Linked DNA regions of Canis lupus familiaris. The protein of the gene in region 1 purifies or fractionates together with the protein of each later gene. This does not show direct contact. Links are inferred from orthologs where the notes say so. Each region holds a gene or a part of one and is shown on either strand. Other genes may lie near its edges.

Region 1 (7,525 bases):
CTGAAATGGGGTGACTACTTGAACCATACAAAATGTCCACTATTGTGAAATGAGAATAGATCCTTGATTTTATACTTCTATTTTGATTCACCTGAGAAATAAAACTTACCACCTCAGAGAAGGTAATTTCCATATGTTTTGGATTATATTGAGCATTAATTCTGCAGGGTCATTATAGACTTAGAAATGTTTTGTCCGGGATCCCTGGGTGGCGCAGCGGTTTAGTGCCTGCCTTTGGCCCGGGGCACGATCCTGGAGACCCGGGATTGAATCCCACATCGGGCTCCCGGTGCATGGAGCCTGCTTCTCCCTCTGCCTATGTCTCTGCCTCTCTCTCTCTGTGTGTGTGTGACTATCATAAATAAAAATTTAAAAAATTAAAAAAAAAAAAAAGAAATGTTTTGTCCTGGGGCGGCCTGGATGGCTCAGTGGTTTAGCGTCGCCTTCAGCCCAGGGCGTGATCCTGGAGTCCTGGGATTGAGTCCCACATCGGGCTCACTGCATGAAGCCTGCTTTCCCTCTGCCTGTGTCTCTCTCTGTCTCTCTCTGTCTGTCTCTCTCTGTGTCTCTCATTCATAAATAAAATCTTTAAAAAAGAAATGTTTTGTCCTGGGCGTCTGGGTGGCTCAGTTGGTTAAGTGTCTGCCTTCAGCTCAGGTTGTGATCCCAGGGTTCTGGGATGGAGTCCCGCATCAGGTTCCCTGCTCAGCAGGGAGTCTGCTTCTCTCTCCACCTTTCCCCCCTCCACTGCTCGTGCTCTTTCTCTCTCAAATTAATTTAATTTAATTTAAAAATCTTTTTTAAAAAAACTGTTTTGTCCTGCCTTCTTGTTCATGCCCAAGTGCCTTCCCATGGTGGGAGGAATCTACAAGGCACCCCAACCTCAACTGCACTGCTGTTGATTGTTGTAACTGTTCATCCTTGTATTGGGTTAAAATCTGCTGGCTATAGTTATATTCATTGACTCAGCTTCACTCAAGCTACACTGAATTTGGATCCCTTTTCTATATAATGGCCGCTACAGCTACAGCTCTCTACCCACAATTTTTTCCCTTTGAGATAAACACTCAGCTCTTCTACCTGTTCCTCATTGGACACCATTTTCGTCATCCCGGATTGCTCTCTATAGATAGGATGCTTTGTTAATGTTCTTTCTGAAGTGTTTTCAGTACTGAAGATAATATTCAATGTGTAACTGAATTGGATCTGGGCCTTGTACATCTGGACATTAATGCAGCCTGGAGTTGCTTTAAGTTTCTTTTTTAGTAGCCATGTAATGTTGGCTCATAATGAATTTTTTTTTTAATTTATGATAGTTACACAGAGAAAGAGAGAGAGGCAGAGACATAGGCAGAGGGAGAAGCAGGCTCCATGCACTGGGAGCCCGACGTGGGATTCGATCCCAGGTCTCCAGGATCGCGCCCTGAGCCAAAGGCAGGCACTAAACTGCTGCGCCACCTGGGGATCCCCCATAATGAATTTTTTAAAAAATTTTTATTTATTTATTTGAGAGAGAGAGAGATCACCGGTGGGTGGAGGAAGGAAGGGGCAGAGGGAGAAGCAAACTCCCAGCAGAGCAGGAAGCACAAAGCAGGGCTCAATCCCAGGACCCTGGGATCATGACCTGAGCTGAAGGCAGATGCTCAACCGACTGAGCCACCCAGGCACTCCATGAATTTTTTTAAGTAAGCTCTGTGCTGAACATGGGGCTTGAACTCACGACCCCAAGATCAAGAGTCTCATGCTTTACCAACTGAGCCAGCCAGACACCCCTCATAATGGAATTTTTAATTAACTAAAATCCCAAGATTTTATTTTTTTTATTTTTTTTTTAAATTTTTATTTATTTATGATAGTCACAGAGAGAGAGAGAGAGGCGCAGAGACACAGGCAGAGGGAGAAGCAGGCTCCATGCACCGGGAGCCCGATGTGGGATTCGATCCCGGGTCTCCAGGATCGCGCCCTGGGCCAAAGGCAGGCGCCAAACCGCTGCGCCACCCAGGGATCCCCCAAGATTTTAATCTAGAGGTTTGGCTTCACATGACTTCTTTCCAAACCAAGTTTCCATTTTCCTTTAGTTGTGCCACAGGTTTCTAAAGTCAGAATGTAATGTTTAATATCCCTATTAAATTTCATCTCAGCCTATGAGACAGCCTTGGTTATTATCATCCAGTTTATGCTCATTGAACAAGGGGTCTTGAAGCTAGTGTCAAAATGTTTTCAGACATCTGGGAAACAATAATGAAAAGTCATGGAGACTATCTTCCAAAAATAGTTCTATGCAGATATATCTCTGCTCTTGCGGTATATATGAATTACTACCATTGTAAATTGACAAGACCAGGAAAGACTGAAGTTTATTGCCACCCTGCAAGACTTGTGTTGAACATTATTACACTGAAATGATGTTCCAAGACATATTGTGCTAACATAATGCCAGGGCTGCTAATTCTTCCCAAGAAATCAATTAATTGACATATGAAGTAGAGGCAGAATTATCATGACCATTCTTTTTCTTTTTTTTTTTTTTGCCAAACATATACTGAGCACACACAGTATTAGGAATAGTGCGAGATTCTAGAGAATCAGGTTTGCCTGGGGCAACCCTGATTTATCCCTGTTGTCCTAGTGTAATTATTAGTAGCATCATTTTTCACTTTCCAAAGTGTCCAGGTTTGGAGGATAAATTATCTGGCCACCCTTCTCATAACCCACCTAGTTCCTTTAGTATTTTATTTCGGTTATATGTTACACAGCTATAATGTGGCAATTTTAATGAGGCTGCAGTAGTACTTCTCTTCCATTTGAACAGATCATTTTTCGACCATGGGAAGTTGATAGCAAAACTTACTGCAATTAAGGTCTATACATACTTACTATCTTTCCTGAGCTACCCTCTAGAGGGCAGTAATATATACATCCGAAATGATCCAATTCCCACAGAAAATGGACTACAGGAGTCCCATTTTCATATGCATGAAAATCAGAAACACTCAAGTGCTCTTAAACACTCGATGCTCATATTGGAACCAGTGTTGTGAGTAAAACTCAAATACCTTTTGCTAAGCAGAAAAGTAAAGAAATAATAAAAATTAATTCATTAACATTCTGAACATTTTTTTTAAATTGAAAAACTGAACTTTGATGGCTTGAATATATAATGATCTATTATAACAATTATGCATAGAGTTTAATAATCTGCATAATTTATGCTTTTGTTTTTCCTAATTAATAATTTTACATGGTTAATAATTTTAATATATTCTGTATCACAGTTTCCATATTTACATAAAGTAATCAATTAAAGAACAGTTTTATTCTACCTGCTTGAATATTACTTTCCTCCAGAAAATGAAAATGCTGGTTTTTACTTTATAAAGCTTGAATCATATAATGCAGAGCTCTAGTATTTGGAATTAGAATGTTTTTTTTAGAGATTGTGTAATTAATTTTATGTCATCAGGTAATTTGTTAGCTCCTAATATCAAAATTATATTGCCTGTGTTTCAGATTTTGAATTTTCTAATGTAATGTTCTCTTTTCAGAAAAGGTGGACAAGTCCTATTTTCAAGAGAAGATGACTTTTAACAGTTTTGAAGGAGCTAAAACTTGTGTACCTGCAGGCATCAATAAGGATGAAGAATTTGTAGAAGAGTTTAATAGATTAAAAACTTTTGCTAATTTTCCAAGTAGCAGTCCTGTTTCAGCATCAACGTTAGCACGAGCTGGTTTTCTGTATACTGGTGAAGGAGATACTGTGCGGTGCTTTAGTTGTCATGCATCAATAGATAGATGGCAATATGGAGACTCAGCAGTTGGAAGACACAGGAAAGTATCCCCAAATTGCAGATTTATCAATGGCTTTTATTTTGAAAACACTGCTGCACAACCTACAAATCCAGGTATCCAAAATGGTCAATATAATGCAGAAAACTATCTGAGAAACAGAGATCATTTTGTTTTAGACAGACCATCTGAGACTCATGCAGATTATCTTTTGAGAACTGGACAGGTCGTAGATATATCAGACACCACATACCCGGAGAACCCTGCCATGTATAGTGAAGAAGCTAGATTAAACTCATTTCAGAACTGGCCAGACTATGTCCACTTGACCCCAAGAGAGTTAGCTAGTGCTGGATTCTACTACACAGGTATTGACGATCAAGTGCAGTGCTTTTGTTGTGGTGGAAAACTGAAAAATTGGGAACCGTGTGATAATGCATGGTCAGAACACAGGCGACACTTTCCTAATTGCTTCTTTGTTCTGGGCCGGAATGTTAATATTCGAAGTGAATCTGATGTTGCGAGTACTGATAGGAACGTCCCAAATTCAACAAGTATTCCAGAAAATCCAGCCATGGCAGATTATGAAGCACGGATCGTTACTTTTCGGATGTGGATGTGTTCAATTAACAAGGAGCAACTTGCAAGAGCTGGATTTTATTCTTTAGGTAAACTTTATTATAAAACCAGGCTAATAAATAACTTTCCAACTATCCCAGTCCCCCTAAAAAGTGGATTCCTTTAGCCCCCTGAACTGGTAAATAAAGGCTGGCATGATTAATCTGTGAACCTTTATGTTGAATTTGCAGTGTAACTACTACATTTATGTGAAAAAGGACTACTATATTGTGAGTTATATTTATCTTTGTTTTTTTGGAGAAGGATTACATGCAAAAGATGATAGATCTCCCAGATAGAAGAATGGGTCTGACAGTAATATAAACTATAATTTATTGAGCACCTACTGTATGTGCTCAGTACATGTATCACATGCATTCTTTCTATACCTCATAAAAAGAGTTAACATTAGAGAGTTTAGTTTGGCTGATATTAAAATTGATACCTGCCTTTTGTACATAGAGTTTATATTTGAAAGCTGCCCTGTATGCCTTTTTGCTTCAAATAAGCACTTCTCTTTTTTTTTTTTTTTTTTTTTTTTAAATAAGCACTTCTCAAATGGACTACTGTAAACTTGTCAGGAAGGGCCCTTAGTGTGATGACTTCCAGGAATATTCAGAAAAGTTATACCATCATATATCTGACTCATTAGCTTTAGGATTGAGTAGTGCCAAAATACAAAATATTAGTTATTTCAATATTTTATTCACATAGTATCCTGTAGCAATTTTGAAGGTTTGTTTAGTGTCATGTAGCTATAACCCTAGAGAAACTTACTTTGTAATTTTGTTAACCTGAGCCTTATTGTTAAAGTTTCACAGTTTGAAAAAGTGTAGTATTGGTAGACCCAAATGATAACAATTTTAATTTTTCACATAAAAATTGGTCAATTTATTTTGTCTTCTGTAAAATACCTCAAATTGAATCAGTGAATTTAGTGTGTATTCCCTCCTCAAACAGTCATGGCTGTTATTTAAATGTGAATTTGAATGTCGTCTTTGAAGCTGAGATTCTCATGTAATTTAAAATGGTTAATTTCATGGTGTTAAAGGGGCATTTTTGCATAGGCTTCTAATTGCACAAATACATGTATTTTTACTTGTGTCTCTTCTTAGGGGATGGTGATAAAGTAAAATGCTTTCACTGTGGAGGAGGACTAACTGATTGGAAGCCCAGTGAAGACCCTTGGGAACAACATGCTAAGTGGTTTCCAGGGTAAGGTATTTAAATGTTTATTTAGGAACAGGCAAGTTAGACACTTTGCAGTCAGGAAAATCTTGAATAACTTTTCACCTAACTATTTTTGCCTTCACTATGGCTTGCAATTCACACCAAGTTTATAAAAATGGGGTCACCTACTTTATAGAAAAAAAAAGGCCCTAAGCCTTCTCTGGTGACCAAAGCATTCATTGCTTATATGTTATATATATGACATTCAAATTATTCTATTTCTAAACACTAATTAGGAATATATAGTTTTGTTGTTAGAAGTAGGCTCTTTCACAATGACCACGGGAGAGCCCTTGTTGCCAAGGATTTTTTCCTTGGAACCCATCACATCCCCTAGCAAATTTTACTGTATCTCTCTGATTATAAGACACACAATTGTTCACATTTTCAAATTTTTGAAATGATACATCTGGTGGTGGGTCATAATTTAATTGGCAGCGGTGGTACATAAAATAATCATCCTTCTTATAATCAGTGGCATCTTAGAATGATAATAACATACTCTGTCTCTTTGTCATCTTGTTTCTTTAAAAATATTCATACATATAAGTGATGTAAAATTTTTGACCTACAAACTAGTACAATTTAAAACTTCAGAGCGATTGTTTGAAAATAAATCTTAAGCTTAAAAAGCCTTAAAAGGAAAGGTTGAAAGCCTAAGGAGTTCCTTCAGAGTGTGTAGTTGGTTAATCCTCTAAACAAAATTAAACTATTTAAAAAATTAAATCTTAAATTTAATAACTTGGTTTAAGGTTGGAAGTTCTCAAGTTGTTATTTTTTGCCTAAGATTACCAAAGAGTAGTATAACAAAGGAACGTATTTCTTTAACTTTGAAATGACAGTTGGTAGAGATTAAATAACATTTCATTTTGCAGCTTCTTAGAAATACCAAAAAGGAAGTTAATGGAATTAAGATAATGGAGATATCTGTATTTATACTTTACTGATTTATCAGCTACCAAAGTTTAACCTTCTTTTAATTGTTTAGGTGTAAATATCTGTTAGAAGAGAAGGGACAAGAATATATAAACAATATTCATTTAACCCATTCAGTGGTAAGTCACATATTGTAGAATATAAAATATTATTTAATTTGTTTTGCAATGATTTCTTGGTGTAAAATTCACAGTATAGTATCTTAAATTAATAATGTATGGTGGGCTTTAAAGGGGAGATCTTGAAGAATGCTTGTTATTTCTTTTTTTTTTAATTTTTTTATTTATTTATGATAGTCACACAGAGAGAGGGAGAGAGAGGCAGAGACACAGGCAGAGGGAGAAGCAGGCTCCACGCAGGGAGCCCGACGTGGGATTCGATCCTGAGTCTCCAGGATCGTGCCCTGGGCCAAAGGCAGGCGCCAAACCGCTGCGCCACCCAGGGATCCCGAATGCTTGTTATTTCTTAACCTGAAGTAGCTTTGTGAAAGAGGAATCCCCATAAGCTGATTGATTTAACTCACTGTAAATAAAAATGGGTTTGAAGAACTAAAATACTTAATCCCTCAACTTTCTGAAATTAGACTTTTGTATAATGTGTTTTATACTCATAAATAATTGTGAACTTTCCAAAGGCAATATTTTAAATCTCAGAAGCGTGTCTAAATTGATGGCAGCCTGGGATGGCTAAGGTATTGGTACCATGTGGGAAGAGCCATGGACTAGAATGGGAAGCCAGAGTTGTCATTTATGGCTCTACCATGAGCTCCCTTGCCTCAATCGAGTTGTTTAAACTCCCTGAGACTCAGTGCCCTGTCTATAGAGTGAGTGGATTGTGTTAGATGATCTTTTAACTTCCTTCTAGTGGGGATCCCTGAGTGGCTCGGTGGTTTAGCACCTGCCTTCAGCCCAGGGCGTGATCCTGGAGTCCTGGGATCGAGTCCCACATCAGGCTC
Region 2 (6,929 bases), on another chromosome or scaffold:
TGGATACTAAAAAATGTATATTGAAGATGTTTTGGTTTGGGGTCACTACAGAGAGGAAGATACTATATTCCTGATACTTAAGTCCGTCCGTGATTTTCCTATTTTTGATCCATCCTACTGGATGATAGTAGTAAAGTCCATTATCTTTTAAATAACTAAAATCAGCAGAATGATAAAAATAATCATCTTCGTCTTAGTCATTTGTTTTAAACATAAAAGATACCATGTATGTCAGTGAGAAAAAAATTTTCTGACCATTGACTTTTTGAATCATTTTTAAATGGTAGGGAGGATTTGATTTCAGTTACAAAATTTCTGTTAACTAGACCTTTTAAAAAGCCTTTTAAGAGTTAATTAAAACTCCCTAATATGAATGACTAACTGGTCAAAATACTAGTATTAAAATCTAATGATGGAATACTTTTATTATGGGCAAGCAGGAAATTATGTGTCATGGTGAAATTAACTTTTCCTTAGCATTAAGAGAATTCCCTGATAAATACTCAGTAGTATCATTCTATGAAAATTTATTATTTATATTTTATTATGTCAGAGAGGGAAAGATGATCCCTTAAACCTTGGAAAATGAAACCATTTGGGATTTTATGTAAGATCAACTATGTTATTAATAGTGGCAATTAAATTGAAATTAAAAAGTCAGCTTTCTGCTTTTACAAGCTAAAACACTACTATAAGTATTTATAGATTTTTGGCATGATTTAGTGAAGTTCACAATTTAATTTAAAAAATTAACCGAATAGCTTTTCTGTTTCATGTAAGATACAACTATGTTTAGCCAGGGGTGTACTCTCTAGTTTTAGTAAGCTTAAATTTAGTAGTGGCAAAAACTCCTCTGTGTTTAACCCCTAGCATAGCCCAACCTAGGATTGTCCAGATCATTCACTGCTCACCTCAGCACATGTGCAGAATTCATCACTATGTGCCTCTCCTCAGAGGTAGATAGGGAAATGTCTCGACCAATTTGATCATTAACATTCAGGTAATATTAGTTCTTTTTGGTTCTTCAACCTCCTGGTGAGGGTTGCCCTGACATTACAACATTTGACAAGACCTAGCGCTCACCTTGGCAAGGCCTCCTGACTTCAGCCTAGACTAATCTGGCCATACCAGTCAACATGACTAAATTCATGAAAGTAAAATAAAAATTCTTCTTTGCTTCTCTCACTTTCATCTGTTCTTCCAGCCTTTCAACCCCAATCTCATGTTTTTCTTTTCTGTGACCTAAAATACCAATAACTAGAAATCATGCGAAGGTCCAAAATTGACCTAGATTTTGGCTTTGCCTTGAAATACGGCAAGCTTGTGGTTATCATTTTTAGATAATTTTGTATGTAATTTTAGAAGTTGATACTGGTTTAAGCTTATATTTAATGAAGTTCAGCTTTTCACAATTTCTGAGAAAAAGTATTGATAATCAAGCTAATCAGTAAATTACAGGGAAGACATATTGGTGAAGACTTTTTCTTTGAAGTCCCCCTGATTCAGGAAAAAATTAGAAGTACATACATAGGTTTAAATAACCTAATTAATTAGGTTTTTTTTTTAAGGGGGGATTTTTATGCATTTTTGGAAAAAATTAAAAAGCTTATCAATTTAATAATCATAGCACATACTGAGTGCTCTTGGATTTCTATTTATAATATATTAGATATAGAGAAAGACATGGATACCCAAGAGCAGTTAGTGAGAGAAATGACTAGACACAGTAGAGGGAGCCACAGAGGGGGAAAAACCCACTGAGGAATTTTTCTTATTTGCAAAGATGGAAGTATAATACATGGCCCACTGCTTGCAATCTTAGAGTCATAATTCTGGCACATTAAAAATTTAAAAAAAATCATCATACTTTATTTAATAAATTTAAGACACTACTAAATTTTCAGCACAAAGCTGAGTGTTTTAATAGTTAATAGCACAATCCTTGAATTTTTTTTTCCCCATTCCCTGAGTACTGTGAAACACTGGTATACTTAATTTTAAAATACATATCAGACACAGAGTATTTATTTAATAAGATATATCAAGTATGAAAGATTTAAGAAAGAGTAATAGGAATAGAAACGTTGAAAGAGTTCAAGAGACTAATTTTTCCTATAAAGTCAGGGGCAAATAATCTTTAATCAGTTGTAATCTTGTTGGAGATTACATAGTTTGAAACTGTTGATGTGGGTGGGGAAAGAGTTGGTCAGAGAAATAACAAGTTAAGTGTATTTCTTGTTCAGCCATTTCAGTTAGTATATGATTTTTGGTCAGATAAGACTACTAGGCAATACACTGTTACTCTTTCTTTATTGCTGTCCAGTATTTAGTAAACATTACTGAATGTTTTTTCAAACTGAAATACAAACTTGAGTATATAAAATTACTCTTCCTTCCTAATTCTCCATTTAGTATAAATAACAACAGCAATAACAGTAATAATAACCACCATATGTTGAGTGCTTACCATATAGGTTAGCATTGCATGGTATTTCTTACATGCATTATCTTACTTCATTTGATTTAGCTTAGCTTTTGGAGTCACTTGTAAGCACATTCACGATGGCTTTGAAAAAGAAAACTAGAATATCAGTCAATAATAAATTATTGAAGTTACTGAACCATCAGACTGTCCTATTTTTTTATTGCATTGCATGCAGTGCATTGCTGTCAGCCCGACCTTGTCTTTATCTGCACCACTCTTTCAAGGAGTTACTTCTCAGGGAAAGGGCTGAACAGTTCACTTGTTTAACTCATTTACTCTCTCCTAACAGTGGGAAAGCAACTACTTCTGAAATAAAAAGATCCTATTACTTCACAGTTATCCTGCCTGCTTCTGGAGGCATAAATGTTAATCCCATGTGACTCATGCAAGTTGTTATGACAGTTTACCTCTTTTGAAATACAAACAAAAGCTGTCTGTTCAAAATACTTTGGTAAAATCGACTGGTTGTTGGATTTAACCCATTCAGCTGTTTTGTGCATGACATTGAGCTATAATTTCCATACTGTTCATACTCCCATCAAAAACATCTTCCATTTTCTACAGTGATTCTTATTAGGAGAAGTGGGAGGGGGTTCATGCTAGAATCTGTATAAATAGAAGATAATCTACTGGAAGAGAATGTGTCTCTTGTTTTCCCCCTTTTTTCATTAAAGAACACGAGTATTCAGGGCAGCCCCGGTGGCTCAGCGGTTTAGCACCGCCTGCAGCCCGGGGTGTGATCCTGGAGACCCGGAATCAAGTCCCACGTCAGGCTTCCTGCATGGAGCCTGCTTCTCCCTCTGCCTATGTCTCTGCCTCTCTCCCTCTCTCTCTCTCTCTCTCTCTGAATAAATAAATAAATAAGTCTTAAAAAAAAAAAAGAACACTAGTATTCAGGGAATTGACACAGCCTTATAGTACACAGCATGATTAAGGAAAGAGAGCTATGAGGTTTGATTAGGTAGGGTCAGTGAAGACAATATAAAGTATAAAGGTCCCATTACCACTGTTTTTTTTTTATTTGCCTTTAAGATTTTGTTTAAATTAAAGTTGGTTAACATATAATGTAGTATTTAGTCTCAGGGGTAGATGTTTTTGTTTTTAATTGAACAAGGGCTTATAAGCTTTAATGTTACACAATTTATAGCCAACTTAAATTGAATCAGAGTATGGTTGCATTTTGATTATCTGGTAATTGGATGTTCTCTTTTACCTTTAGAATTCAGAATAGACTTTCTTCATTACCAGTAGTAATAACTTTTATGTATTACTTATTTTATGAAAAAAAAATGCCAATATCTCATGCATGCTTTCTTGCTTTGTCCTTATAATTATTTATGATATAAAATAAATAAAATACATACTTGAATTCCAGATACCAATGGATCAGATAACTCTATCCCAATGGCTTATCTTACACTGGATCACCAACTACAGGTAAAGAATTGCCTTCTCAGTGACTGTTTACTATTTCCTTAGAAAGTTTAGAGAAGTTATCTAGAAAGCTGACAGTTGTGTTTATATCTGTCATCATATATTCACTTACTTATGCTTTTAGTTGGCCTACTTAAACTTTCTAAAATCAAGTTAAAATGATTCATTCAGTTAAATTAATCAAATCTGAAGTTGGCAAAATCATATGTTCTTAAGATATTTAATTGTCTTAAAACACTTCCATATCTTTGTTTAAGAATGGCAAGAAATAGGGCAGCCCTGGTAGCTCAGTGGTTTAGCGCCACCTTCAGCCCGGGGCATGATCCTGGAGACCCAGGATCGAGTCCCATGTCAGGCTCCCTGCATGAAGCCTGCTTCTCTGCCTCTTTCTCTGTGTCTCTCATGAATAAATAAAAAATCTTTAAAAAAAAAAAAAGAATGGCAAGAAATAGGAGATGCCTGGGTGACTCAGTCAGTTAAGCATCTAACTCTTGATTTTGGCTTGGGTCATGATCAGAAGGTTGTAAGATCAAGTCCCACATCAGACTCTGCGCTGGGTATGGAGCCTCTTGAGGTTCTCTCTCTTGCTCTCTAAAAAAAAAGGAAAGAAAGAAAATGCCAAGAATATAGCATTTTTGATCTCTAATTTTAGTACTGTAATATAAAATTTGCATAAGCTCATTTGTACTTAATAGATTTCATGATACACTGTCAATGTCTCATGTTCATAGTGACTGAAAACATAAGTAATACACTTCAGTGTCTCCTCATGAGTATGAAAGCCATAAACTTATCGTATAATATGGTTTGACAACCTGAAATGTAAAGCCAGAGGCGAGTGATACTCTATAGTCATGATTCTCTGTAACAACAAAAGTGTTAAGACAGCAAGTGTGAATTTAAGTTCTGAGTTAACTCTGACAAAAGGACACTGAAATTTTCTAGGCCATGGTCTAACACTTACTTTTAAAAGACCATTGCTTTAGTGCTATAAAAACATGTCACAGTCACTGTCTTAACTTTCAGCTTGATATTAAGATTTGATTTAATTATGTTTTAACAGTCCTGATTTATTTTCAGCCTCTAGCACCGTGCCCAAACTCCAAAGAATCTATGGCAGTGTTTGAACAGCATTGTAAAATGGCACAAGAATATATGAAAGTTCAAACAGAAATTGCTTTGTTATTACAGAGAAAGTAAGTTATCTTTTGTGAATAAACACGTTAGTATTTTGAGTTTAAAATATGTTAAGATGAAATATTGTTGGAAGACATGAAAGCTTGATAATTTTTAGAACTAATCATTAAGCATGCAGATGCCTGTTGAACGGCTTGGGTGTTGGGGTGCTGAACCCCCACTCATTCAAAAATCCATGTGTAACTTTTGATTCCCCAAAAATGCTAATGGCCTACTGTTGACTAGAATCCTTACCAATGACATCAGCAGTCAATTAACACCTATTTTATATGTTTATGTATTATATACTATATTCTTAAAGTAAGCTAGAGAAAAACTTTTATTAAGGAAGTCATAAGGAAAAGAAAATACATTTACAGTACTGAACAAAAATCCATGTATAAGTGGATCCATTTAGTTGAGACTCATCTCATTGTAGGGTCAACTGTATTTCCAATTTGGAGGTTTTATATGTGTTCATCTTTTAAGTTTGAAGGAACTTTCGGCTGTTTTTCATGTAAAACTCAACCCATTGGCTGTATGTATTATATTAAAACTAAGGAAAATAAACTGGTGTTTCATGTTCTAAGAATTTTGAAACCAGAAGCTGGTTAGATTTATAGTTACAATGATTTATTGTTTCCTTAGACATAGGTAAAATAATTTGATTTACTAATGTTCAACTGTACTTTATCTTAGAAATGTTTTATTGATATAGTCTTTCCAGGTATATATTTAGGAGAGTAGGATTACTTTATTTTATACCCATGAGTGTTTTTATAAGGTGTTTTATACTCACGCATATGTTTTTCTGAGAGTTATTGAGTTTGCCTTCCTCTCCTCCCTTTTTTAAGAAAATCAATTTTCATGCTCCTTTATTTGAAATTCTTAAAAAAAAAAAAACAAAAACTTAAGTTTCTGCATGGATCCTCATTTTAGAGGGAACTGAAATGAAGTGCTATAGGAAAAAATCATGGCATGGTAATAGGATTCCCTCTATTGATTTTAATCTAAATAAGTGAAAATTTCTTGCTTTCTGAAGTAATTTGTGGAAAGTTTCCGTTTGTACTTCAAAAAAAAAAGAAAAAATAGCTCTATCACAACTTATTGTTAAATGATTGCAACTCTACCTTAAAGGCTCTATAGGAAATAAATATTTGAGTCTGCAAATTGTGGAGCTAATTGTAGAACTGTTGACACTTTATGTTTTTTAAAAAAAACCTCTTACTTTACATATTTAGTCTATACTTTTTTCCTTTTTTATTCATTTGAACGAGGAGTTGGTTCTGTGCTGGAAAAAGAAATGATAGATTGAGGGAATGCGAAAACTATGACAATTTTAATCAATTTTATTTAAATACTTTGAGAAATACTACAAGAAAATCATCTGGAGGCTCTTCATTAATTATTCATTTATATCATTAATTAATCACTTATAACTTCACTTTAGGAGTTAAAATTGAACATCTCCCAAATAAAGGGGTCTTTAAAAAGTTTATCAGGCTGTAAAAGTCTCTAATGGTCTTCCTGAAAATGTTTGTAAAAGTAACTCATTCGAAATTGGTACTTTGTATTGTTCTCACTTTTAAAGTAGGAAATAGATTTAAGTTGATAGCATCTATTTTAATTAGCTTGCCAATGTTTTATGAGCCCCCACTTTGTACTGTAGTTAAATAAGATGTAACTTCAAACATAAATAAAAGTTCACGAGTGTAAAAGTGGAATGTGAATGATAAAACATGTTATTTTCCTGTGCCTAGAGCCCTTCCCCAGCCTTTTTTCTTCTTCTTACACAAAGGGGATACCAAGTAAAATGTTTTGAAACTTTTGTTAT
Region 3 (7,555 bases), on another chromosome or scaffold:
ACCAGCCAAGCGCGGCAGCAGAACGGTGACATCATGCGAACCCACAGCTCTGGCTCTCCTCGCAGTGGGAATGGGGACAGGCTCTCGTGCTAGGCGCAGCGTGCCAGCGATGGCTCAGGAGCGGGTACAGTGGTCAGAAAGGAGATTTGGCCTCGTCTGTTGTATCCTGAATTTTTTTTAAGTGAAAGCATGTGTGCACCTCAGCAATAGAGACACCAGTTTTGTTTAGCATTGAAGGGGCGTGGCGCCTGCTGCTTTGCCCTCAGGCCCCAGGGCAGGAGGAGGGGGTATCTAACTTCTGCTCTAATTACCCCGGAGAGAGCACACACCCCCTTGGCCCGCACCACCCCCCCATGGCCTCCAGGCACCGGATGGAAGGGGCAGAGTCTGCAGTCACCCAGGCAGACAGACGGTGTTCAGTGAACACAGGGACAATGGACATGGGTCCCTTCCCCATCGTCACACAGGAGTCAGTCCCGGAGGGGCTTCTGCAAAGAGGGAACATCCTGGAGAAAGTGAGGATACAGATGGGAGAGCTCGGGTCACTCCCAGGGCAGCCCCCCCTTCACCAACCGTGGTGGTCCGGAGGCCTCACGGCATCCCCCTCGTCTACATCCTGGCCGCCCCTCTGCTCAGGGGGTCCCGGCTGGAGCCCCTGACACTGTGAAAGCTGTTTTTTTGTTACCACCAGTACAGACACGGCCTAGACACCCAGGGTACAGAGGGGCAGAGGGGCTGACATTTCCCCTCACCTCTGGTGCTGCCCGCCCCTGCGAGGGTGATATCCCTGGAGGGACACGTGGCTGGGGGGACTGTGGAGACTCTGGGAGGCCCCCAAGGGTTGTGAGGGAGATGGGGGCCATGGGCGGGCAGCACCAGAGGTTCCTGCAGGTTCCCCAAGGATCCCAGCATGTGGACAAGCTCGGGGGTGACCCAGAGCCCACGTGCTTTAAGCCCCCAGAACCCACCCTTGCCCCAGATCCCTGTCCGACTCCTGACATCGGGACAAGCCACAGGTTCTAGCAAAAAGCTGCTGTTGTAAAGTCACATATACAGCGGGCCTGCTCACGGTGAAACGGGTTAAAAGGTGTAGACGGACATGTGGCCACATTCAAAATCCTCTGATGGGGACGCCTGAGGGGCTCAGCAGGTGAGCATCTACCTTTGGCTCTCAGGGGGTGACCCCGGGGTCCTGGGATCGAGTCCCACATCAGGCTCCTCTTAGGGAGCTTGCTTCTCCCTCTGCCTGTGTCTCTGCCTCTCTCCCTGTGTGTCTCTCATGAATAAATAAAATCTTAAAAATAAAGTCCTCCAACTACACAGTAGTGTCTTCATTACATTTACAAACCATAAAGGTAAATATAAGTAGTGACGCTAATTGCCGACAGACTCAATTGTTTTATGGACAAAATTCGGGGAAACAGAAACACGTGTAAAATGCTCTAAATAAATCGACACGAAGTGTATCATATCTAAATGTGTCCTAATGGAGGTGCAATTATCTGCATCATTTTTCTTGTCTGACCAATGCACCCTGCATCTCCCTGTGGAAACAAGTGTTTTTTTATTCACCTGATTCACTGACGCACCAGTGATTTGGGACAAGTTGCCTTTACCGGGACCTGGTTCCTCAAATCTTTGGGTCACTCGGTCATGTCATTAGTAACAGGATGTGGACTCCAGCAAAAAAGGGAAAAGGTGCCTTTTGTACACTCACAGGGAGGCAACCTCGCACACAAGTTCTGGGGGCACCTGGCCTTATGTCCCCTCTAGGCCCCCAGTTGAGTCCAGAGCAACAAGGAGACAGGAGCCAAACCAGGTGAGGTGATCACCTAGCAGCCGAGTGTGCTCCCAGGATCCAAACTCAGCCCTCCGTGCCCTCTGACTATCAGTGGGGGAAGACCAGCCACGGCCACTTTTCCTGGGTTCAGAGTCTGACCGGGGGAGAGCCTGGGGGTGGCAGGACATGTATTTGCTACCCCGTTGTGCTGCCCCTGCTGTACCTCAGTTTCTTTATCTGAAGCCAGGATGATGAAATAGAACCTTCCTTGATGCCTCTTACCCGGTGAGCACGACTGCAGCATTTGTACCTCAGGGCCACAGGCTGCTCTCAGGGCCAGCCCAGCAAGGCAAGCATCGCTGCGAAGAGGGTCACGGGATTCCTCTGGCTTCCCCATGAATATACGAGTTAGGTTCACGCCATACTGTCGTCTATAAAACAATGTACCAGCTTAATCTAAAAATACATTGCTCAAAAATGCCAGCCTTCCTGAGCTTTTAGTGAGTCCTGACCACTGATCACAGGTCCCATCACTTCAAAAACAAACCTGAAAAGTTTGAGGGACGCCCGGGGGCCTAGCAGGTGAGTGTCTGGCTTCGGCTCAGGGCGTGATCCCGGGGTCCTGGGATCGAGTCCCACATCGGGTTCCCCGCAGGGAGCCTGCTTCTCCCTCTGCCTGTGCCTCTGCCTCTCTCTGTGTGTCTCTCATGGATAAATAAGTAAAATAGTTTTTAAAAATTAAAAAGAAAAGTTTAAAGTACTGTGACAATTACCAAATGTGACCCAGAGCAGGACATGAGCAAACGCTGTCGGAGACGCGGTGCGGGCAGCCATGCGGGACGTAGGGTGGCCGAGACCCTCACTTCGTGAAACGCACAGTCCCTGCGAGGTGCGGCGAGGTGCCCTGTGCAGATTCACAGGCGAGGAGAGCACCCCCCGGGGTGGCCTGCCCATCGTCCTTCATCACCAAGCTGCTCAGTGACCTACGCCTGAACCTGGCATCTTGGCACACAGCACCTGCACCCCCGACTCCCCACCCAGTCCTCCGAGTGCCAGGGACCCGGGGATGGTGCAGGTGCAAGAAGCTCCCTGCAGAGCAGGAGGGAGGACAGAGGTGTCCGGAAGGAAGGGGATGTGTGGCCCCTGGGAGCAGGGGTCGGTCTCAGGCGCGGGCCCGCCTGGGTCAAAGCCGAGGGACTTGCAGCCCCTGGGCTGAGGTTTGGGGAAATCGCTCCCCGCCCCAGCACAGTCTGTTCACAGCGGGCACTTTCAGTTTTGTTTCTTTGTCTGCAAGAAACGAAACTCACCGGGAGCCCGAAACTCACAGGAGGAGAGGCCGGGGGGCTGAGGCAGAGCAGGAGAGGCTCATCCCAGAGGTGACCGGTGAGATGCAGCTCCTGGCGGGGGAGGGGGGGATCGGAGCCACAGGAGGCCTCCAGGGCAGGAAGGGGCAGGAAGGGTTAAACTCAGTGGAGCCCAGAGGACGGGGGACAGGGGTCAGGCGCTACCCACCCCGGGGACAGTGAGACAACCTGTGGCAGCCCCAAAGCCTGAGGCCAGTTGTCCCCAGTGGGCTGCTCCTAGAGCAGGGTTCTGATGTGAGGGAGACAGCCCCCCCGCGACACCTCCAGGGCCGTCCCCACCTGGCCCCTTGCAGCCTCACCCACCGCTTCTTGCAGGCAGACCTCCTGTGGATGTTGTGACCCTGCTTTGCCCTGCCGGGAGGGGACATGGGTGATCTCACCGTCTCGCTTGTGCTTGAGGCCTGAGACCTCCTCCCCGGCCCTGGGTGAGGACTACAGCTGTACTATCGCACCACCCAATGGCCCATTTTTCTCTCCCCTTGATCCGCAGCAAGAAAAGCGTGGCCGCTGCCCACCTGGCCGTCCATCCGTCAGTCTGTGAGACCCACTGCCTGCTGATCCATCCCCAGCCCGAGGCAGGGAGCCCGTCCCACAGGTGAAGATGGACGACCATGAGCCCCACCAGCAGGTGCGGAGGCAGAGGTGCGGGGGTCCAGTGCGGCTGACATGGTGGCCCCTCCCCCACCATGTCCTCACGGACCGGGCAAGTGGTCCCTGTTTCAGGAAAGGCTGGATGTCCTGAGAGGAGGGGACGCAGGCCAGGAAAGCTCTAAAAAATAGCCAGGCCAAGGCCAGCTTCCTTTCCTGCTTCTTCACATGGGTGCCCCCTGCAGCCCCTCCCGCCTGACCCGCAGGTCCCCCAGCAGCTCCCCCATCCCCCAACCCTCAGGTCCCCTGCAGCCCCCTCCCTCCCCCCTGACACTCAGGTCTGGGCAGATGGGTCCCACACTCACTTCCTGAGCATGGGGCTGGTGCTGCAGAGGGACAGGCAGCCACCCTGGCCCCTGCTCCCAGGAGCCCCCAGACGGTAGCCTAGGCAGACACAGAGGGAGGCTGCGGGTATGGCTGGGACCCTGGCTTCTGTGTGTAGTCAGATGTCAGTGGGTCACAGCTGTGCAGAGTCATCTTCCAGGGGGTCAGGGTCCAGCATGGTTTCCTAACAAACAAGCAGGCAGGAGGGGGGCATAGGGGGTGGGGTGCAGAGACACCACTGTCTTCTCTCCAAGGTAGGTGTGAGGGGCAAGGAAGAAGGAGCTCACCATAGGGACACAGGGCCCCCGTTCCCCAGAGGCTGGTAGAAGAGCCTCCTGTGGCCCCTGCACCCAAGACGGCCGCTGCTCCCCAGGGGGAGTCCCTCTTGGGCCCTCCTGTCTGCTCCTCATGCACTCCAGTGCCCCAGGCAGATCGGCTCCTGTCCCCCCAGGGCTGCCGTGCCTGGGGTCTGGTGACCTTGCCTGTCCTCCCTGCCTCCCTGTAGGCCACGGAATACTTGGAGCGCCCCATGGAGCATGGATTCCACGAGCTGGCTGGGCACCTCAGCGCCCTGGGCCTACATGAGCCCCACGGTGCCAGCTGCAGGGAGCTGTGCCCAGACTGCGGCCAGCCCATTGGGCTCCGGGTGTGTCGGAGAGAACAGGCCCGGCTCAGCACAGGTGAGGGCCAGGCTGGAGAGGGCAGGGGGGCTCCTGGGTAAGGGTGGACACAGGGACGGGGGTCTCAGCAGGACAGGCAATAGCTGTGCGCATCTCCCATCCGCCTGGCTGTTGGAGTTCTGGACCTCGGACCTGAACAGCCTCCGGTGTCATCCACTGTAGTCCTCTGGGGACTGGTCTAGGGGGACCAAGAGGCTGGGGACAGAGTCCAGGGACCCCCACACAACGGGAGGCTTCGCTTGAACTCCCACAGGATGCTCCCAACCTGGGAGAGATCCACCTGCACCCTTCTGCGGGTACGCAGAGCTTGCAGGCGGTCACAAGACATGTCTCCTGCAAGACAATCCAGCCGAGGTCAAAATCAGCACATGAAAAACTGGGATCCTTGAGACTCGCACCATTTCCTGCATCTCAGCGTGGCTGGGCTTGCACACGGTGTCATCAATATGACACGGCTTCCACACACCCAACACGCAGACATGCACACAGACACCAGCTTGCTGCCAGAGCCTCTGGGTCACTGGCGCCGTGGCCTCCTCCTAAACCCGTCCTGCTCCAGTAAACCACCTCGTCATCGGGGTTCCCACGCTGCCCCAGGAACCACCGCCGTCCGTGGCCATGCAGGGCATCTCATGGATGATCTGGCCGGTGACACGGGCAGTGCGGGACACTCGCAGCTAGGCAGGCCTGGGGACAGCTGGTGCTCAGGACCGCCAGGGACAAAGGCCATGGACGGGGCTACGGGGGAGCTGGCCTAGCCACTGCCGAGGGCCGTCATTTATGGCACTGTTTCTGTGCTTATTCAGGGACGAGAATTTCACCTCCTGAACATGACATCTACTGTCGTTATTGCAACCAGGCGATCCCAGGAAATAAGGACTTCGGCCGGATGGTGAGTAGCAATTTGTCACTTTCTGCTCATCCCTACTCCAAACACGTGATGTTGGCAGGTAGGGTTTGGGCCTGACCCTACACAGCAGGGCTACTACAGGTTCCCATACTTGTTGCCATGCTTAGGGAGGGAGGTGGGTGGCTCACTCTGGTGACCCAACACTTGCGCACCTCCTTGGCCCCCAGCGCCTGGACTTGGTGGTTTGACCCCCGGTAGGACCTGCCTTGCTCTGTTCTGCTCTTGATGCGAATGGTCTCGGTTGGATGTGAGCTCCGGCAGGAGTGAGCAACTTTCTCCATCTTTGCACAGGGTAGCCTGCATCAGGGCTGGGTACCAAAAAAGGGGGCTTGGTCGAGGTTCCCTATGGGACTGACCAGGCCGGGGGGAGGGAGGACACTCACAGATCCTCCCTCTGGGCCCTGAGCACCTATTCGTGCCTCTACTGGATGTTCACCTTTCCTCTGGGGAAACTCGCTAAGGCTCCTCCTCTCTTGTGTGAAGAGTGTGACCCTGTCCTAACCTTCCACTCAGAGAGCTGAGGCTTACCAAGACCCTAGGACAGTCTGGGTCTTCCCTTGTGGTGGTAAAATATGCACACAATCCACCGTCAGTGCAGCCACCCCCAGTCTCCGCTCCAGAGCATCTTCATCACCCTAGAAAGGAGCCCCACATTGGTGGGACACCTCCCATCCCCAAATCCTCCATGGATTTGCCTGTTGCCGACATTCCCTACAGATGGACTACTAGGTCATGTGGTCTTAGGCCACTGGCTTCTGTGGAGCAGAGGCCTCCAGGGTTCACCCACCTCGCAGCCCCTGCTGGGACTTGATCCCTTGTGTGGCTTCCTACGGGCCTGACACACTTCATCTGCACGCTCGGCTGCCAAGGGGCATAAGGGCTGCTTCCACCGTCTAGTGCTGGTGTTTAAAGGCACAGTCCACTGGGAGGTGGGGGGGGAGGGCAAGCACCATCAGGGTCACTTGGGAATTTGTCGGAAATGCAGGATCTTCTCCACCCCACCCACAGAAAGGCTACTTGAGACCCTGCAGGTCCACGGGATCCCTAGACTCTCACCCTTGGGAAGCACTGCCCCAGCCCCGCGGGTCTCAGGTCTCAGGTAGTGGGTCTCGGCTGTGAGCTTGGAGGCTCATGCATTACCCTGTGTGTCTGGCCTACCGATGCCTCCTCCCATCCTGCCTGTGGTCTTGCGTAGGAGCCAGGAGAGGCGTGGCGAGTGTGAAAATAGGACCCCAGCTGAGGTCCTGACCTTGAGGTCAGGATGTCCATGCAGTCAACAAAGACAGCACTTGCTTACTGGGTGGCGGGGGGGGGGCGGGGGGACTCTAGCCAATGGGGCATCCCATGATTGCAGGGTTGCTCTGCCGCTTACAGGCTGCAGCACCTCCTGAGCCTCTCCCCTCCTTTGAGGGATAACGAGGACCAATCTGTCTGGTCTTCCCTGGGGAAAGAACACCTGTGAGCCCGCAGCACCAGCATCCGTGTGCACGCGGGCTGGGGGAAGGGTCCTGTGCTCCAAAATCCGGCTCCCACCCAGCGCCCCTGGCTCCTGCCCCCCTTGCCCCATCAACTCTCCCCTTTCCGCCCCACAGCAGGCAGAGGTGAGACGGTCCCCAACTTCACTCCACTGGGTCCCAGCATTTGCCAAGTTTTCAAAGGGATGATAATAACCCAGCTCTTGCGTTGCCCCACAGCGGCCTCCTGTCGCCATTTTTTTTTAGTTTGCAAATTGACTGAAATCCTTTATACCACATGGTTGCACGGGTCCTGATCTCCTGCTTTACCTTAACGTTTCTCGGGAACAGAGAAGCCGAAATTATTTCTCTTGATCTCCTGTCCTGCCAGCCGC
Region 4 (7,651 bases), on another chromosome or scaffold:
TCCTGAGGTCTTCGCTGGGAGCTGAGGAGTCCCCTTGAGCAGCTCTTCGGAGCCTGGGGTAAATGGAGAAAAATAACTGTCCTGGGGAGATCACTTTGGTGAGGAAAGGAGTTAGACGGGGAGACCGGCTTTGTAACCCGGCACTGGCAGCTGGGCTCATGGAAGTGGGTCGGTGCCCACGGGGCTGGCTTTCCCGGGGACCTCGCGGGGCCCGAAGGTTCGGTGGTCCAGCCTGGCTGGCTCACACCAAGGACACCTAACCGCGGGACAGCATCCTTGGTGAGCAGGCCCGATTCTGAGCCTCCTGGGCCTTCATGCACACTAGCAAACGGCTCCAAACAGTGTCCAGAACAGTCTTGGGCGACGTGAAACAAGCCAGGAACACGGGCCGCAGCCGCTTCCTTGGCCTTCCAGTCGCCGAGAGCACAGCTACCCGGAGGCCACGGGAGAAGCACCAGCCAGACACAGTCCTTTCCATTTCCCGAGGCAGACAGGAGCCGCCCTCAGGTCTCGGTGCCCCCAGGGGGACACGCTTCTCCGGGCGAGCGGGCTGTCTGGCCACAGCAGAGGGATGCGCGCCTCTGACAGTCACCCAGGGTAGGCATTTTTCAAAAGAAAGAGAAACCATTTCATTCTGTATAAAAAGCTACAAGCCTGGCTTTGGAAGGTTGACCTGCATATTTAAATTAGCTGCCAAATTTTCAATTCTCTACCTTGTAGTGGCCGCTAAATCCTTCGCTTCAAGATTTTGTTCCACCTCCAGACAAAATCTTGCAGAGGCAGCCTCGGGCGATGCCCTCACGTGGCTGTAGCGTTTTGCAGGCTGAAAAGATCAATTTACGGGGGTGATGATTCCTGCGTGGCGCCAACTTCCTTACTCCCAGGGATGGGAGGCTGTCCTGAGGGGTGGGCGGGGGCACGCAGCCCCCCTTTGCAGCAGGTGTCGGAGGGTCTGAGCGATGGTAAGGTGCTCTCTCTTTTGCACCCGTAACAGCCCCAGCATGGAGGGGCTCGCAGTGGTCTCAGCTCAACGCGCAAGGGAGACAAATCCCTAATCGATCCAGGTTGCTGGGCTCTTCCAAGTGCCCTGAAAAGCGGCCAGTTCTCTGGACGTTCACTTACCTGCACTCGGCCACCCCGCTCCGAGGCGCTGACCGGTGAGGGGAGCCGGACGGCCAGAGACATCCTTAGAGGGGATCCAGGGGAGCTGCCTTCGCCAGAGCCCAGACCAGGCGCCAGCCCAGGTCGGTCAGCAAGTGAGCGAGCGGTGGTGCAGCACACACCCAACTCACTCAGCAATGAAGGAACCTCACCGAGGGGCTCAAAGTCGGCGCGCTGAGGGGCCCAACACGAACGCGTCTGCAGAGTGAGCTGCCCGTGTGCTGCGAGGCTCTAGGACAGCAGCTGCACTGCAGGGAGGGGAGCGGAGCCAAGGCCTCCTGTGGCCACACAGGTGTATGCGCTTGTTGTCACGGACGCCACCGTCCCTCGCTCATCCGGGCACTGCTCTGGGCGCACATCCGTTCGACTTCGCCGTAACTAAATTACGCTGCAACTTAAGTTACTCACAGGGATGCAAGCGCAGCGACTGCCCAGCCCTGGGATGGCTGAGATGGTCATTGCTCAAAATCTTAGGGCCCCGAGGCCACCCTGACCAGACACGGGCGAGAATGCACCTCCTGCCAGCCGTGCCCGCGGTGTGTCTCTCGGGAGGGGGAAGCGTGTTCCCTCCTCAACCTGGTGAACGTTCATTTCCACAACGTCCCACTTTCTGAGGTTATGCTGCTCGGCACCTGCTTCACACACAGCCTGACCCTGGGCGGCAAGTGTTCTCGGAGCATCCTCTGGCCTGGGCAGGGCAGGTGTCCTTACCTTGTCCCTCCACAGGCCCCTGTACTTCCCTTTCGGTGACATCTGTCCCAGCCGGGGGGAGGGACCCCGCTGGCTGTCCTCAAGGCCGCTCCGAGAGCCCAGCGCAGAGCCCGGCATGTTACAGGCTGAACCGTGTCCGCCCTGGGGATTCCTGGATCACCCGATTCCCTGCACCTCCCTGCACCTCCTGTCGGGACTGTAGCTGGAGAGAAGCTTCCTTCCTAGCGTTGAGACAGAACTGACGTCTAGCACAGGCCCTACTGGCGCACGTACCACCGTGTGGGCGCGGGGTGTTCGGGGCGACCAGCCGATGCGCACACAGTAGGAGCTTTACCACCCGAGCTCGGCTAACACGTGGCAGCCCATCTTCCTGTTGCCGCGGCTGCAGGGACAGCAGCTGACATCTGCTCTCAGTACCTTCCAAGCTGCACAGGTGGCCTCCGGCCAGCACCTCCCCGATTCCCGCCCCATCCCACCGCCACCCCCTCTGCTGTTTCTGGGAGCCCGACGACGTGAGGTGCCGCGGGTGAGCGGCACAGTCCAGCATTTGTCCTCCTGGCTTACCCCACGTAGCATCATGCCCTCCGGCTTCCCGCGGGTTCCTGCAAATGCCGCGCTCCCCGGAGTCGGCGGCCGCCCCGTAGGGCCGCAGGGTCCTTCGCAGCCCTCTGGACAGGGCCGCGCTGACCCGCTCGGTGCATTCGAGCCCCGGGCCGGGGCCGCGCTGACCCCGCGGTGCGGACGCTCCCTCCCTCCCTCCCTCCGAGTCGCCAGCCTCAGTCCCCCCCCTCCGCGACCCCCGCCGTGACCTCGGTCGTGACCCCGGCCGTGACCCCGGCCCGGGCGCTGCCGGCAGGTGGGCATGAGGCGCGCCGGCCCCCCGACACCCACTCGGCCCCGCGTGCGTCCTCGGAGGCCCCGAAGCGGCTCCAAGCGCGGCCACGCGCCCGCAGAGAACGTCCCGAGCCCCGCACCACGAGGCCCACACCCCGCAGGGGCCGCCCTCCGCCGGCCGGAAGTGACGTCGCTGCCCCGGAAACGCGGCCGACCGGCACGCCCACTTCCGTGACGACGAGGAGCTCCTCCGACCTCGCATCTCGGAGAGCGCGAATCCTCCTCCGGCGCCGGCGGCTTGGACGACGGCGGGGAACCAGTGTCAACCCTCGCGTCGGCTCCGCCCCGCGCCAAACCCCGAGCAGCCCCGCCCCTCCCGCGCGGCCCGCCGCGGCCCCGCCCACTCCACCGCGGCCTATCCCGCGGCGCGCTTTACGCAAGGCCCGCCCTCGGCGCGTAGGCCCCGCCTCCAACCTACGCTGGGCCAATCCCGCGCCGCGGCCCGCCCCCGCCCTGGCCCCGCCCATTCCACCGCGGCCTATCCCGCGGCGCGCTTTACACAAGGCCCGCCCCCGGCTCGCCGGCCCCGCCTCCAAGCTACGCTCGGCCTATCCGGCGCCGCGCTCGAGCCCCGCCCCCGGCCTGCCAGTGCGGCGCACCCTCCGAGCCTCTCTCCCCACGCCGCTGCCTTCCGTGCGTCCCGCGCCGCCGTCGGACCCCCCCCCCCCGCCCTGGCCTTCGGCGTTTCCCGCGCAGCCGGGCCCCGCCCCCGTCCTCTCCCCCAGCCTATCCCGCGCCGCGCCGCCGCCGAGCTCCGCCCCCTTCCTCGCCGCCGGCCTATCCCGCGCCGCGCCGCGTTGGCGCGCGGCTGTGACGTCACGGGTGGCGGCGAGGCGCGCGGCGGAGCTGCGCCGCTCCGGGCCGGCGGCCATGCCCAAGCGGGGCTGTCCGTTCGCGGACGCGGCCCCCCTGCAGCTGAAGGTCCGCGTGGGTCAGAGGGAGCTGAGCCGCGGCGTGTGCGGCGACCAGCACTCGCGGGAGGTCTTCGGTGAGTGCGGGGCGCCCTCCCGCCCGCGGGGGCCCGAGCCGGCGGCGTCGCCCCGGCCCCGCGTCGGCCCCGCTGCAGGCCCCGGGGAGGGGGAGGAGGGGGCCCGGCTGCGGGGGCTGCGGGCGCCGGGCCGCGCCGGCGAGTACCCGGAGCTGCCGAGGTGAGGCTCCGGGGTCGCCCTCTCCCGCTGTCCCCGGCCCTCCCGAGCAGCCCTGGGTCGCAGACGAGGCTTTCTGAGCCCTCGAGTGATAAAGCTGAGCGCAGCCTGGGGCCGACCCGGTCAGGGCAGGCAGGCAGGCAGGCAGCTTACCTGCAAGCGGGGGACAGTCCGGCAGCTCTTTCCCGCTGCCTTGAGGTCCTGGGCGTTCCAGCCGGGCAGTCACCCCAGGCCACCTCCGGGCCGCGGGATCCCGGGACAAGGTGAGGAGGAGCTGCGTGGGGCAGGGCTCACCAGCCGCCCATTTGAGTCACCGTCCACGTCACACGGAGCCAACGGCTTCCAGGGCCTGTTGGGCCTGGCCCCGTGGGGACGAGGCAGGAATCACAGAGCATCTGGGGGCTGGAGTTGGGCGTTTGATCTTGCGAAAGCCCCCGATGACGGACGTGTGGCGCGCGGAGAGCCTCTGCTGCTGGTGCCGAGCCACCACTTCGGCTCTCAGGTGGGAGTGTCCCGGGCCCACAGGCGTCTGCGGAGCTCCAGGAGCGCTTTGTCAGGAGCCGGTTTCTGTCGTGCTCTGTAGTAGGTGAAGGGGGTGCACGCTGGCCGGGGCTGTCGGCCCAGCTCTGAGCCGCTGGGTGTGAATGAGTGATCTGAAGCCCAGAGCGTCCTCTGTGCTATACACCAGCCGGCTTGCAGGGTGCCGGGCAGGAGAGAAACAGCAGTGACATGAGGCCACTTGTGGGGAAAGCCGCATGGAAGGTCATGAGAGGGAGCCTGGGTTGGGCTGCGTGGTGCAGGATCATCCTGGCGGAGGTGGCCGCTGAGCCCTGGTAAGGAAGGGCGAGCGGACCCAGTGGTCCCCAGCTCACCAGGGAGCATCCTGGGCCGGGGCGGCTGGATGACAGCACAAAGGAGGCCTGGCCACGGCAGCTGGCAGGATGAGGGGGCAGTGCCAGGGCTTCCACGTTGCAGGGCTGTGAACACTGGGACTGATTTCTCTTCCTCAGAGAAAACCAAGCAACTCCTTTTTCGAGGGGCCCAGGCCTACATGGACCACTTGTGGGAGGAAGGCTGTGCCATTGTTGACCTGCCGGAGTCCCCAAAGCCCGGCCCCACAGAGGCCCTTCGGGCAGCCCGTGGGCAGATGCTGATTGGACCAGATGGCCGACTGACCAGGAGCCAAGCCCAGGCCTCTGAAGCTGGTGAGTGAGGCCAACAGCAGGCACTTGCCCAGCCATGCGCTAAGGGTGGATCTGAGCACTTGACTCCTGACACTGTCTGCCTGGGAGCTTCTCCTCCCCTCCCTGCAGGGGCAAGAGCTGGCCCTGGGGTCTGAGGAGCTGGTGAGCACCAGGAGGCTCCCGACCTTAGGAGGTTCTAACCCCCATCCACCCCCGGCTGATATGCAAGCCTGCAGGTTGTGAAGCAGCTTTTAGCTGGGGGATCAGGATCCACTTGCAGCAAGACCCAGAGTCTCAGCTGGGTGGCTCCGCCGGTCCGGCGCCTGTGTGGTGTGCAGCTCAGACGACCACCTTTGTTGCTGGTTAAGAGCCATAGTCCCTGCTGCCCCCCTCCCCAAGGCCTGGACTCGGGCCCAGGAGCTCTGTTAACCAGTGATGCAGGGCCACACTTTGAGACACGGGTGCTGGACACACGAGACGGGGGCCACAAGAGTTCTCATACAAGCCACAGTGGGGAAGAACCGATCCTTCCAGTACCGACATTTGAATAGCGAGAATGGAAGGAGCACTCAACCCAGAGTCATGGAACCAGCCCTGTAACATGCTCCCAGGCACTTGGGGTCTCCCTAGTGAACAAGGGTCTGTGGGCCGTGCTTTCTCGTGGGGTGTCAGGAGGACCCGCTTGCAGGGAGTCCGGTCAGGGGTTGTCGGTGGCCCCACAGCCTCCAGCACTTCAGATCCCTGCAGGGCTGACGGATGGCGTTTCGTTCTTACAGACCCCTCCGGGGCAGCGACCAGAGCCTGCTCCTCGTGCGTGCGAGCCGTGGACGGGAAGGCAGCGTGTGGCCAGTGTGAGCGTGCCCTCTGCGGGCGGTGTGTGCACGTCTGCTCCAGCTGCGGGGGCGTGGCCTGCGCCCTGTGTGCCCTTGTGGAGTAAGTGGTTGACCGTGGGGTGCCCGCACAGGCACTTGAGCACCCCCGTGACGTTGAGGCCTGGAGGTTGGGAGAGCGGCCGTCTGGCACTGCCCCTGGGGACGCGGTGGTGCCAATAACTGCTTTGCCTGGTTTTTTAAGTTTTTCTGAAGACTGAGCTTTTGTCACAGAACTGCAGATCACATAGGCTGCCACTTCTGCTTTGCTCATAGTCTTCTGTCTCAGTAACTTCGTGATCTGATCTTTCAGGCTCCGACGTAAGGACTGCGTCACATGGTTTTTCCTGTTGGTCTGCTCGCCAGTGCAGGAAGCAGGGGTGGGGGTGGGGGTGGGGAGCAGGCGCAGGCCTGTATGTGTGTGGCTGGGTGCGGGCTGTCTCGAGCCAGAACGGACCGTCTGCTTAGTGTGTTACTTGAGTGCGCGTGTCTGCCTCCGCTGTCTGGATCCCGCGCCTGCTTGAGAGGCACCAGGTACCATTCCCACCCCAGTGGCCACTTTTGGTGCCGGCTGGGAGTGCAAGACGAGGCCCCCACGCAGACTTGGAGCTGGTTGTGCGGACCTCACACTAGTTTAGTCACAGCAGCCTAAAGCCAAGCGTGGAAGGCAGAAGCCCACCTCAGGTGGGCCAGCCGGCGGAGCCTGGGAAAGCCAGGGGCGGGGTGGGTCCTGGGAACCCCTGCTGTCCTGTTTGGGTTGTATGTTGGCCAGTTATGCATGTGGAATACTCTTCCCTTTGCTTCTGCGAGCTTATTTTTACCTTCCTGTCTCTGTGCAGACTGAAGAGGGCTGGGCCCCCGCGCCTCCAGGCCATTTCCCTGGGGAGGGACCCAGTTGGGCAGCGTTCAGGTTTAGGGAGGAGTTCCTGGAGCCCTCCCCCTACCCCTCCATGTGTGGCAGCCTTCCTCCTGTCCTGACGGTGTCCTCCTGGCCTTTATCTCCTGCTTCCTCTTCCCCAGCTACCTACGGAGTTCACCCTGTGATGGGGGAGGGAGTGTCCATTTCTTAGAGCTACGGCCAGGGGACGGGCTCCCTGCTCCAGGCTCCAGGTCCCAGGGCTGAGGTGGCATCCCAGGTTTAGAAGGCGGCCTGGGCCTGCTGCTCCCTCCCTTTCAGGGGCAGCCCCTTTGGGTCCTGGTATCCGGGGCCACGGAGCTGGGAGCTGTGCCAGGCTCTGCTTCCACTAAAAAGTAGCCCTGCGGCCATCGGCGTCCTGCCCACAGCTGGTCACCTGTGGCACGTCCGGTGCTGCGGTGCTGTGGGCCACAGGCTTACCGTCTCCCCTCCCCTCCTGGTGGCAAGCTGCGCTGCCTTCTTGATGGCGCATCTCAGACTGAGGCCTCTTTCCAATTTTCTTGTCTTTTCGTGGTCTCTCCTAAGGACCCTCCTCTGTGATTTGCTAAACTACTGTGGTCCAGTAAATTCTAACTGGATGCCGGGAGGTTCCCGTGTGGGGGGCCACAGGTGGGCCGTCGGCTCTCAGTCCAGTAGGGCTGCTGTGACAGACAGCAGTGGGCGGTAACTTCGCGTGTGGGGTTAGGGCCCACCCGCCTGCGGTGTGGCCCTGGCTTAGCTAGATCTGCCTGCGGCTCACGGCTCCGTCCCCAGATACAGTCAAGGGACTGG

What was found.
Region 2: the proteins of XIAP (region 1) and MAP3K7 purify together in Homo sapiens (affinity purification with western blotting; 3 studies listed by BioGRID). This does not show direct contact. The link is inferred for Canis lupus familiaris from reciprocal best matches to the Homo sapiens genes XIAP and MAP3K7.
Region 3: the proteins of XIAP (region 1) and XAF1 purify together in Homo sapiens (affinity purification with western blotting; 5 studies listed by BioGRID). This does not show direct contact. The link is inferred for Canis lupus familiaris from reciprocal best matches to the Homo sapiens genes XIAP and XAF1.
Region 4: the proteins of XIAP (region 1) and SIVA1 purify together in Homo sapiens (affinity purification with western blotting; 3 studies listed by BioGRID). This does not show direct contact. The link is inferred for Canis lupus familiaris from reciprocal best matches to the Homo sapiens genes XIAP and SIVA1.

The regions. Positions count from the first base shown.
Region 1 is NC_049260.1:96,090,244-96,097,768, forward strand, and holds the start of XIAP (E3 ubiquitin-protein ligase XIAP), read left to right. Parts: upstream 1-3,569; 5' UTR 3,570-3,577; coding exon 3,578-4,454; intron 4,455-5,519; coding exon 5,520-5,619; intron 5,620-6,622; coding exon 6,623-6,689; intron 6,690-7,525.
Region 2 is NC_049233.1:49,889,772-49,896,700, reverse strand, and holds part of MAP3K7 (mitogen-activated protein kinase kinase kinase 7), read left to right. Parts: intron 1-3,860; coding exon 3,861-3,922; intron 3,923-4,999; coding exon 5,000-5,115; intron 5,116-6,929. UniProt on the Homo sapiens protein: Serine/threonine kinase which acts as an essential component of the MAP kinase signal transduction pathway. Plays an important role in the cascades of cellular responses evoked by changes in the environment.
Region 3 is NC_049226.1:30,831,598-30,839,152, reverse strand, and holds the start of XAF1 (XIAP-associated factor 1), read left to right. Parts: upstream 1-3,009; 5' UTR 3,010-3,163; exon of another isoform or gene 3,164-3,213; intron 3,214-3,447; exon of another isoform or gene 3,448-3,495; intron 3,496-3,634; 5' UTR 3,635-3,745; coding exon 3,746-3,772; intron 3,773-4,097; exon of another isoform or gene 4,098-4,280; intron 4,281-4,621; coding exon 4,622-4,796; intron 4,797-5,602; coding exon 5,603-5,688; intron 5,689-7,555. UniProt on the Homo sapiens protein: Seems to function as a negative regulator of members of the IAP (inhibitor of apoptosis protein) family. Inhibits anti-caspase activity of BIRC4. Induces cleavage and inactivation of BIRC4 independent of caspase activation.
Region 4 is NC_049229.1:72,706,259-72,713,909, forward strand, and holds the start of SIVA1 (apoptosis regulatory protein Siva), read left to right. Parts: upstream 1-3,584; 5' UTR 3,585-3,636; coding exon 3,637-3,754; intron 3,755-4,921; coding exon 4,922-5,116; intron 5,117-5,871; coding exon 5,872-6,028; intron 6,029-7,651. UniProt on the Homo sapiens protein: Induces CD27-mediated apoptosis. Inhibits BCL2L1 isoform Bcl-x(L) anti-apoptotic activity. Inhibits activation of NF-kappa-B and promotes T-cell receptor-mediated apoptosis.